Pelodiscus sinensis: one gene and its partner. The protein of the gene in region 1 binds, or shares a complex with, the protein of each later gene. Links are inferred from orthologs where the notes say so. Each region holds a gene or a part of one and is shown on either strand. Other genes may lie near its edges.

Evidence for each region. Proteins that work in one complex are often made in the same cells at the same time.
Region 2: the proteins of THOC6 (region 1) and THOC7 are in contact, whole or in part, in a cryo-EM structure (PDB 7APK), measured with the Homo sapiens proteins. The link is inferred for Pelodiscus sinensis from reciprocal best matches to the Homo sapiens genes THOC6 and THOC7. Residues at the interface, in NP_001334633.1 of Homo sapiens: Asp229, Trp232, His245, Thr252, Gln268, Asp269, Gln284, Leu285, Ser286; in NP_079351.2 of Homo sapiens: Lys110, Arg113, Lys114, Gln117, Glu118, Ala121, Leu122, Val125.

What each region holds. Positions count from the first base shown.
Region 1 is NC_134714.1:134,744,262-134,749,094, reverse strand, and holds the start of THOC6 (THO complex subunit 6), read left to right. Parts: upstream 1-1,727; 5' UTR 1,728-1,853; coding exon 1,854-1,868; intron 1,869-4,833. Other genes in the region: HCFC1R1 (host cell factor C1 regulator 1), read right to left, coding at 1-123. UniProt on the Homo sapiens protein: Component of the THO subcomplex of the TREX complex which is thought to couple mRNA transcription, processing and nuclear export, and which specifically associates with spliced mRNA and not with unspliced pre-mRNA.
Region 2 is NC_134721.1:4,391,617-4,396,449, forward strand, and holds the start of THOC7 (THO complex subunit 7), read right to left. Parts: upstream 2,947-4,833; 5' UTR 2,790-2,946; coding exon 2,771-2,789; intron 1,407-2,770; coding exon 1,289-1,406; intron 1-1,288. UniProt on the Homo sapiens protein: Component of the THO subcomplex of the TREX complex which is thought to couple mRNA transcription, processing and nuclear export, and which specifically associates with spliced mRNA and not with unspliced pre-mRNA.

The sequences.
Region 1 (4,833 bases):
GCAGCGGGGGGAGCCCAGCCTTGGGCGGCGGCTCCAGCCCATGTCCCCCCCAAGGCAGGGGCAGCGCCGGGGCTCGAAGCTGGGGGTCACCGCCAGCCCCAGCTGCCAGGGTGGGGGGGCCATCCACGGGTCATCGCCTGGGGAGAGAAGGGAGAGTTACACACTCAGCAACCCGCCGATGGGCCGCAGTCTGCCCCACGCCGCTCCCAAGTTGCCCAGCAGCCAGACCCACCGAACTGCAGGGCTCCCCGTATGCACTGGGGTGGGTCACCGCAACCCTAGGGGTTCCCAGAATGCACTGGGGCGGGTCATGCCAAGTCTAGGGGTTCCCAGAATGCTCTGGGGTGGGTCATGCCAAGCCTAGGGGTTACCAGAATTCATTGGGGTGGGTCATGCCAAGCCTAGGGGTTCCCAGAATGCACTGGGGTGGGTCATGCCAAGCCTAGGGGTTCCCAGAATGCATTGGGGCGGGTCATGCCAACTCAGGGAGCTCCCAGAATGCTCTGGGGTGGGTTAAGGCAATGCCAAGGAGCTCCCAGAATGCACTGGGGTGGGTCATGTCAAGCCTAGGGGTTCCCAGAATGCACTGGGGTGGGTCATGCCAAGCCTTGGGGTTCCCAGAATGCACTGGGGCGGGTCATGCCAACTCAGGGAGCTCCCAGAATGCTCTGGGGTGGGCTAAGGCAATGCCAAGGAGCTCCCAGAATGCACTGGGGTGGGTCATGCCAAGCCTAGGGGTTCCCAGAATGCACTGGGGTGGGTCATGCCAAGCCTAGGGGTTCCCAGAATGCACTGGGGCGGGTCATGCCAACTCAGGGAGCTCCCAGAATGCTCTGGGGTGGGCTAAGGCAATGCCAAGGAGCTCCCAGAATGCACTGGGGTGGGTCATGCCAAGCCTAGGGGTTCCCAGAATGCACTGGGGTGGGTCATGCCAAGCCTAGGGGTTCCCAGAATGCATTGGGCCGGGTCATGCCAAGCCTAGGGGTTCCCAGAATGCACTGGGGCGGGTCATGCCAAGCCTACGGGTTCCCAGAATGCACTGGGGCGGGTCATGCCAAGCCTAGGGGTTCCCAGAATGCATTGGGCCGGGTCATGCCAACTCCGGGTGCTCCCAGAATGCACTGGGGCGGGTCATGCCAAGCCTTGGGGTTCCCAGAATGCACTGGGGCGGGTCATGCCAAGCCTTGGGGTTCCCAGAATGCACTGGGGTGGGTCATGCCAAGCCTAGGGGTTCCCAGAATGCTCTGGGGCGGGTCATGCCAAGTCCAGGGGTTCCCAGAATGCCTCGCACCCAGCTGCCACACCCTATAGAGAGGGGCGGGGCCTGATTAAGGGGTGTGGCCGAAAGAAAGGGCGGGGCAGAAGGCGGAGCTCGATCCCGCGCATGCGCAGAGCGAAGGAGCGACGCCAAGCGGCGCGGGCCATGTCATTCGTTTCGCGCCCGGAGAGGAGTTAGGGCGGGGATCGGCGCACGCGCGGTACGGACCTTGGGGGAGTTTTTTTCGCGCCGATCGGGTTGCTTTTTCTTCTTCCCCTCCCCCCACCTCAACGTTCTCAGGATTCTCCGCCGCGGCCTTCCTTGTAGGGTGCGCGCGCAGCCGCTCCTGTCATGTGACGGGGCGAGCCAATGGAGTACTGCGCCGCGCGGCCACCCGGGAAGTGTAGTCCTGGGCTTTTGCGAGAACGGGGCCAGCCGGCGCGTGGAGACTCCACTTCCCGTCGGGCCCCGCGCGCGCTCGCCGCCGGAGCCAAGCCAGGCGGGGTCGCGCAGCCTGCGGGGAGCTGCAGTCCTCGGCGCGGTGGGATGACGTAAGGGGAGCGCGACACGGAGGCGCATTGCATGGGGAGACCTCATGGCACCGGGGCAGGTAAGTGGGGCCGGGGAGAGGGAGGAGCTCCCAGCATGCACCGGGCTGGGTCAACCCCACCGCATTCTGGGAGCTCCCCGGCGTGGCGGGACCCGGCCCGGTGCATTCTGGGAGCTCCCGGCGTGGCGGGACCCGGCCCGGTGCATTCTGGGAGCTCCCCGAGTTGGCGGGACCCGGCCCGGTGCATTCTGGGAGCTCCCCGGCTTGTCGGGACCCGGCCCGGTGCATTCTGGGAGCTCCCCGGCTTGTCGGGACCCGGCCCGGTGCATTTTGGGGGCTCCCCGGCGTGGCGGGACCCGGCCCGGTGCATTCTGGGGGCTCCCCGGCGTGGCGGGACCCGGCCCGGTGCATTTTGGGGGCTCCCCGGCGTGGCGGGACCCGGCCCGGTGCATTCTGGGGGCTCCCCGGCGTGGCGGGACCCGGCCCGGTGCATTCTGGGAGCTCCCCGGCGTGGCGGGACCCGGCCCGGTGCATTCTGGGAGCTCCCCGGCGTGGCGGGACCCGGCCCGGTGCATTCTGGGAGCTCCCCGGCGTGGCGGGACCCGGCCCGGTGCATTCTGGGAGCTCCCCGGCGTGGCGGGACCCGGCCCGGTGCATTCTGGGAGCTCCCCGGCGTGGCGGGACCCGGCCCGGTGCATTCTGGGAGCTCCCCGGCGTGGCGGGACCCGGCCCGGTGCATTCTGGGAGCTCCCCGGCGTGGCGGGACCCGGCCCGGTGCATTCTGGGAGCTCCCCGGCGTGGCGGGACCCGGCCCGGTGCATTCTGGGAGCTCCCGGCCTGGCGGGACCCGGCCCGGTGCATTCTGGGGGCTCCCCGGCGTGGCGGGACCCGGCCCGGTGCATTCTGGGAGCTCCCGGCTTGGCGGGACCCGGCCCGGTGCATTCTGGGAGCTCCCCGGCGTGGCGGGACCCGGCCCGGTGCATTCTGGGAGCTCCCCGAGTTGGCGGGACCCGGCCCGGTGCATTCTGGGAGCTCCCGGCGTGGCGGGACCCGGCCCGGTGCATTCTGGGGGCTCCCCGAGTTGGCGGGACCCGGCCCGGTGCATTCTGGGGGCTCCCCGGCGTGGCGGGACCCGGCCCGGTGCATTCTGGGGGCTCCCCGGCGTGGCGGGACCCGGCCCGGTGCATTCTGGGGGCTCCCCGGCGTGGCGGGACCCGGCCCGGTGCATTCTGGGAGCTCCCGGCGTGGCGGGACCCGGCCCGGTGCATTCTGGGAGCTCCCGGCGTGGCGGGACCCGGCCCGGTGCATTCTGGGGGCTCCCCGGCGTGGCGGGACCCGGCCCGGTGCATTCTGGGGGCTCCCCGGCGTGGCGGGACCCGGCCCGGTGCATTCTGGGGGCTCCCCGGCGTGGCGGGACCCGGCCCGGTGCATTCTGGGGGCTCCCCGGCGTGGCGGGACCCGGCCCGGTGCATTCTGGGAGCTCCCGGCGTGGCGGGACCCGGCCCGGTGCATTCTGGGGGCTCCCCGAGTTGGCGGGACCCGGCCCGGTGCATTCTGGGGGCTCCCCGGCGTGGCGGGACCCGGCCCGGTGCATTCTGGGGGCTCCCCGGCGTGGCGGGACCCGGCCCGGTGCATTCTGGGGGCTCCCCGCCTTGGCGGGACCCGGCCCGGTGCATTCTGGGGGCTCCCCGGCTTGGCGGGACCCGGCCCGGTGCATTCTGGGAGCTCCCGGCGTGGCGGGACCCGGCCCGGTGCATTCTGGGGGCTCCCCGGCGTGGCGGGACCCGGCCCGGTGCATTCTGGGGGCTCCCCGGCGTGGCGGGACCCGGCCCGGTGCATTCTGGGGGCTCCCCGGCGTGGCGGGACCCGGCCCGGTGCATTCTGGGGGCTCCCCGGCGTGGCGGGACCCGGCCCGGTGCATTCTGGGGGCTCCCCGGCGTGGCGGGACCCGGCCCGGTGCATTCTGGGGGCTCCCCGGCGTGGCGGGACCCGGCCCGGTGCATTCTGGGGGCTCCCCGGCGTGGCGGGACCCGGCCCGGTGCATTCTGGGGGCTCCCCGGCGTGGCGGGACCCGGCCCGGTGCATTCTGGGAGCTCCCGGCGTGGCGGGACCCGGCCCGGTGCATTCTGGGAGCTCCCGGCGTGGCGGGACCCGGCCCGGTGCATTCTGGGGGCTCCCCGGCGTGGCGGGACCCGGCCCGGTGCATTCTGGGGGCTCCCCGGCGTGGCGGGACCCGGCCCGGTGCATTCTGGGGGCTCCCCGGCGTGGCGGGACCCGGCCCGGTGCATTCTGGGGGCTCCCCGGCGTGGCGGGACCCGGCCCGGTGCATTCTGGGAGCTCCCGGCGTGGCGGGACCCGGCCCGGTGCATTCTGGGGGCTCCCCGAGTTGGCGGGACCCGGCCCGGTGCATTCTGGGGGCTCCCCGGCGTGGCGGGACCCGGCCCGGTGCATTCTGGGGGCTCCCCGGCGTGGCGGGACCCGGCCCGGTGCATTCTGGGGGCTCCCCGCCTTGGCGGGACCCGGCCCGGTGCATTCTGGGGGCTCCCCGGCTTGGCGGGACCCGGCCCGGTGCATTCTGGGAGCTCCCGGCGTGGCGGGACCCGGCCCGGTGCATTCTGGGGGCTCCCCGGCGTGGCGGGACCCGGCCCGGTGCATTCTGGGGGCTCCCCGGCGTGGCGGGACCCGGCCCGGTGCATTCTGGGGGCTCCCCGGCGTGGCGGGACCCGGCCCGGTGCATTCTGGGGGCTCCCCGGCGTGGCGGGACCCGGCCCGGTGCATTCTGGGGGCTCCCCGGCGTGGCGGGACCCGGCCCGGTGCATTCTGGGGGCTCCCCGGCGTGGCGGGACCCGGCCCGGTGCATTCTGGGGGCTCCCCGGCGTGGCGGGACCCGGCCCGGTGCATTCTGGGGGCTCCCCGGCGTGGCGGGACCCGGCCCGGTGCATTCTGGGAGCTCCCGGCTTGGCGGGACCCGGCCCGGTGCATTCTGGGAGCTCCCCGGCGTGGCGGGACCCGGCCCGGTGCATTC
Region 2 (4,833 bases), on another chromosome or scaffold:
GGTGCCACTACCTTTAAAATGTAGTAAGAGCCCGACGATTTTCACTACATTTAAAACGCAGAGCTGCAGCATGGGTGGCTCCCGGAGCTACCCCCACTGCAGCTCTGCATAGCAGTCCTATCGACTATTCTGTTAGCTCGGTAACCGCAATTTAACAGCCCTAGACTACTTTGTCAGTTCTATTTTACAACGTCTTGCTCTGAACGCTCTGCAGAATGCTCTTATAGTCACCCAAAAGAAAACTTCCTCTAAGCATCTAGTTTTAGAGTGTTGTCTCTAATAAAGTCCTCCCTTTCATTTTGAATGGAGTTTAATTAATGGGCTTTTTCGTTGACACTTTTTTATACAGAGGAACAAAAGCAACATACTATCTTCTCCAGGACATATCTGTCAGTCATCCTATACCAGAGTTCCTAAACCAGGGATATCAGTACCCTTAGGGGTACACGAGAGAACTCTGGGGGATAAGTCAACACAACTGAAATTGAGAGAAAACTGAATTTTTGTTGTCAGTCTTACAGCACTTTGTTATTTTTGTACTTTTTACACCCAAAAATTTTCATGGCCCGCCCGGCTACAATTAAGTTGTTTAAACAAATGTGTTGCACTGGTAGAAAAAAATGTTGTCTGTCTGAAAAATGTAGGTATTGGAGGTACTTATAATTTTTTTTTTTTTAAAGTGGGTACTTTATAAAAAAAAAGTTGAAAAACTCTGTACTATACTACAGCTGTGAGTTCCTGTAAAATCAGTTGCTATAGCAGAAAGATTATAACACTACTGAACTCTCAACAGTGCTTAAGCAACAGCGTAGATTCACTATTACCAACCCAAAATATTTTAAAAAAATGAATCAGGCCTTAAAAAATAATTCACTTTAAATTGAGATTTTTTAAAAGGGTTTTTTATTTGCCTTCTGGCTTTTGAGTGCTTAGAGTACAAACTTTTCAGTCTACATCAATGGGAGTAGATAAGTAAAGAAAAAAAAAAGCTGACATTCCCATCCAATTACTTAACCCCAAGACCTAGAGCTTTAAATAAAATACTAATATCAAGGGAATTGGCAAAAAATGACTCTACAGTACTAATTATCTGGGTTACATAATTGCTGCAGAGTTTGGACTGTAAACAATGCAAGGTCCTATTTAAATGTAATAAAATATGTTTTAAGATGAAATGAATTGTTTTAAGATGAAATGAATGTTTTTATAATCAAAACAAGCTTTTGGCTCTGAACTACTGGTATCTAGACCACATTGCTTTAAAGAAGAAAAACAGAGAATGGAATACCCTTCTTCTTGAGATCCAGAGTTGCACCATTTAATGAAGCTCTTCACTAACAAATTAATTCGTCTGTCATCACCAGCACCATCTCCATCAATTAGAAGTCGTTTACGAATAACTTCATCTAGAGTAGAGGAAGATCATATTTTAAAAACGTGGTAAGTTACAGCCTCAAGTTATGATTGATCCTGGTTTTGAACAATATCCCTCCCATTACAGCCTGGCACTGAAGAGAACATTTTCTATGGTTGACTGTAGGGTATTCGGTGTATCCAACCTCCCTTCCCCATTACTTCGCTGCCAACAAGTACCCCCCCCCCCTTAATTTCCCAAATTGAGAAGGTCTGAGTGGGGGCATTCTGCAATGGGGCCTGCCTGGTGCTTAGGGTTGTGTGATTGTTTCTGTGGATGGGGGCGGTAGCTCTGGAGTGGGAAAGAAGGGAAGACAGCTGGTAGGCAGAGATTCTGGAAGGGGAAGGGGACATGGGGAAAAGGGAGAAGCCTGGAGTTCACAGCTGGGGTGCGGGAGGCAGGAGCTGGGAGCCGACGGGGGCCCATTGGGAACCCCAGCAGCGGGGGGTCTCTCTGGAATACACGGGGGCAAACCCGGGAATGGGGGGGCACCCCAGGGACCTGTAGGGGCCCCCCAAAGCGCTGTGGTCTCTGGAGCGAGGGGCGCTCCGAGGCCAACGCTGTGGGGCTGGGTCACGAGCTGGGGCCTGAGAGGCAGGCTCTGGCCGGGGGGAGGGGGAGAGGCCCGGCCCGCTATCACCCCGGGGGAGCCCCGAGCGGTAAAAGGGGGGAGGCGAGAGCAAGGCCTGGCCCGGGCGGTATAAGGGGGGAGGCCTGGGCCGGAGGAGCTCCGGGCGGTATAAGGGGGTGGGAAGGGAAGCGAGGCCCGGGCGCTATGAGGAGGGAGGCCCGGCCGGTAACGGGGAGAGGCCCGCCCCGGGTGCTATAAGAGGGGAGGGGAGGCTCGGCCCGAGGAGTGGGGTGAGGGGAGGCCTAGTTGGCCCGAGGGGCCCGGGCGCTATGAGGAGGGAGGCCCGGCCGGTACCGAGGGGGGAGGGGATGCCCGGTTCGGTTGGCCGGGGGGGGGGGGGGGAGGCCCGGCCCGGGCGCTATAAGGGGGGAGGGGAGGCCCGGTTCGGTTGTCCCGGGCGCTATAAGGGGGAGGCCCGCGTGTCCCGGGGCCCGGGCGGTACCGGGGAAAAGCCTGGCCCGGGGCGCTATAAGGAGGGATGCCCGACCGGTAACGGGGAGGGGGCAGAGGCCCGGCCCGGGCGCTATAGGGGATGAGGGGAGGCCCGGTTCGGTTGTCCCGGGCGCTATAAGGGGGCAGGGGAGGCCCGGCCCGGCCCGCGTGTCCCGGGCGCTATAAGGGGAGGGGAGGCCCGGCCCGGCCCGGGCGCTATAGGGGGAGGCCCGCGTGTCCCGGGCGCTATAAGGGGGCAGGGGAGGCCCGGGCGGGCCCGGGGACGCGCTCACCGTCGGTCACGGCGCCCATGGCGGCCCAGGCGGCTGGCGGGGCGGCGGCGAGTGAGGTCAGCTTCCCACAATGCAGCCGGGGCCGCGGCAGCCATGGAGGCGGAGGCTGGGGCCTGAGCTGCTCCCTGCGGACCCGGGGCCCCGCGCTGCCGCGCCACCGGCCGGCGGGGGAGAGGGCGGGCGCACCCCGCGCGGCACCGGCCTCACCAGGTGAGGGGCGGCCGGCCCCACCCCGCGCGCCGGCCTCGCCCGGCCCCCCCCTCCTGGGCGCCCCCCCCCGGGTGCTGGGTGCGTGGGGGCCCCCTGCCCCCTCACCGTCGTGCGCCACGCGTGGCCCCCGCGCAACCGCCCGCGTGCCCGTGGCTGGCGTCCTGCCCCCCGTCTCCGTCACGGGCAGCGTGGGGTGGGTGCCGGCCTCGTTGACGCTCTCCTGGGGTGCCCCCATGGCATTGGCCTCGCACCGTCCCCCTCTGCCGCCCTCGTTGGCATCGTGCCCCGGGGTGGCCGTGATTTTCCTCCGTTGGGTTGCGTTTGCCATCGTTGAGCCGCCGCGGTTGCCGTCGTTCTCCATGATGCCTTTGGCTTCCATTACCACCCCTTCTCTCATCGCAGTTGCCTTCGCCATCGTTTCGCTTGATGTGATCCTTTCCGTTATTCCCCACGACAACTTCACCACCATCGGCTCTCTAGAATTAACATCCCTCCCCACCATCTCCCTTCTCCTGGTTGCTGTGGCCGTTGTTTCCTTCATTGCTTTCGCTGCTGTGTTACGCACTTGTCTCGTTGCTACCATGTCCCTTATCACTGTCGCCCTTATATTTGTGCTACCACTGCAATTTCTAACTCCGGTTGGGTATGACTGACCCTTTCCTAGCTCATTGAGGTAAAACATTGACAGTAACCACATTGGACCTGTGCTTATCTCTCAACAAGCGGTACTCTGCAGTGTCACTGTTAATTTTAAAATATAAAATAGTCTGAGCAAAAAAACAAAAAAAAATTCATTCTCCCGTCTATGCTAAGAAGGACCAGACATCTGCATCTGGCAGGATGCTGCCAGAGTCCCAACTGGTCCTACTAAACCCAGTGAGGTAGCTGCTCACCAACTGGAGTTGTCCTCAGCACCTTGTTTACCCTTTTACTGACCTACAAAGTATCAGTTTGCAGTGGGAATAAAAGTTATGCCCACGCTAAAGATGTTTACACCAAGGGAGAATCCATCTGTTGTTTTAGCTGGTCTGGTATCTGCCTCATCGCTCTTTGTTGAGGAGATCCATGCGGACCCAAGCTAGGAACCATAGGGGAGAGAACAAGGGGGTGGAGAGATTAGGGTTTTATTTATGCCATATGGTTAGCGTTAGCATGTGGAACCACAAGCTGTGACTCTGTAGTAACGGTGTAGTTAGCTGTAGCTGGTGTTACTGTGGTATACTTTAATAAGCATTCACGTTTCAAGCATTTTAGAGGACTTTACTTGGATGCTCTCATTCATATATATTTTTACCATAGTCTTCTGTTTTTGTTTTGATCGTCACATGTTACATAACTTATGTGCTTCTTTGTACGCTTAAAATATTTGTTTTTCTCACTAGGGTCAGTTTTTTGTTTTGAAAATTGATCTAGGATACAGTAAAAAGTGTGAGAGCACTGGAATGTTTTGCAGTTTCCTGGTTTAAAGGTGAACTTGCTCAGGGATTAATTTTGCTCCTGAGAATGGTCTTTAATAGGTACATAGGAAATGCCATACCAAATCAGACCAGTGCTTATTTAGTTCAGTATCTTGTTTTTATAGTGGCTAGTATTAGATATTTTATTGGAAGGTACAAGAATGCCAATAATGGACAATTGGTTTCTCCCTAATCCTAAGTAATTTGTGTTTGCTTTACATCCTGAAGCATAAATTTAGGTTTTGAGATATTATAGTGATGGATGATAGTAGAAGAAATAACCATAGATAAGTAATTTCTATCTCTTAAATTTTCTATATTATAGTATAAACTTAAAAAACAATTGGTCTTGCAACACCTTAGAGGCTAACAAAAAATGTAGACGGTATCATGAGT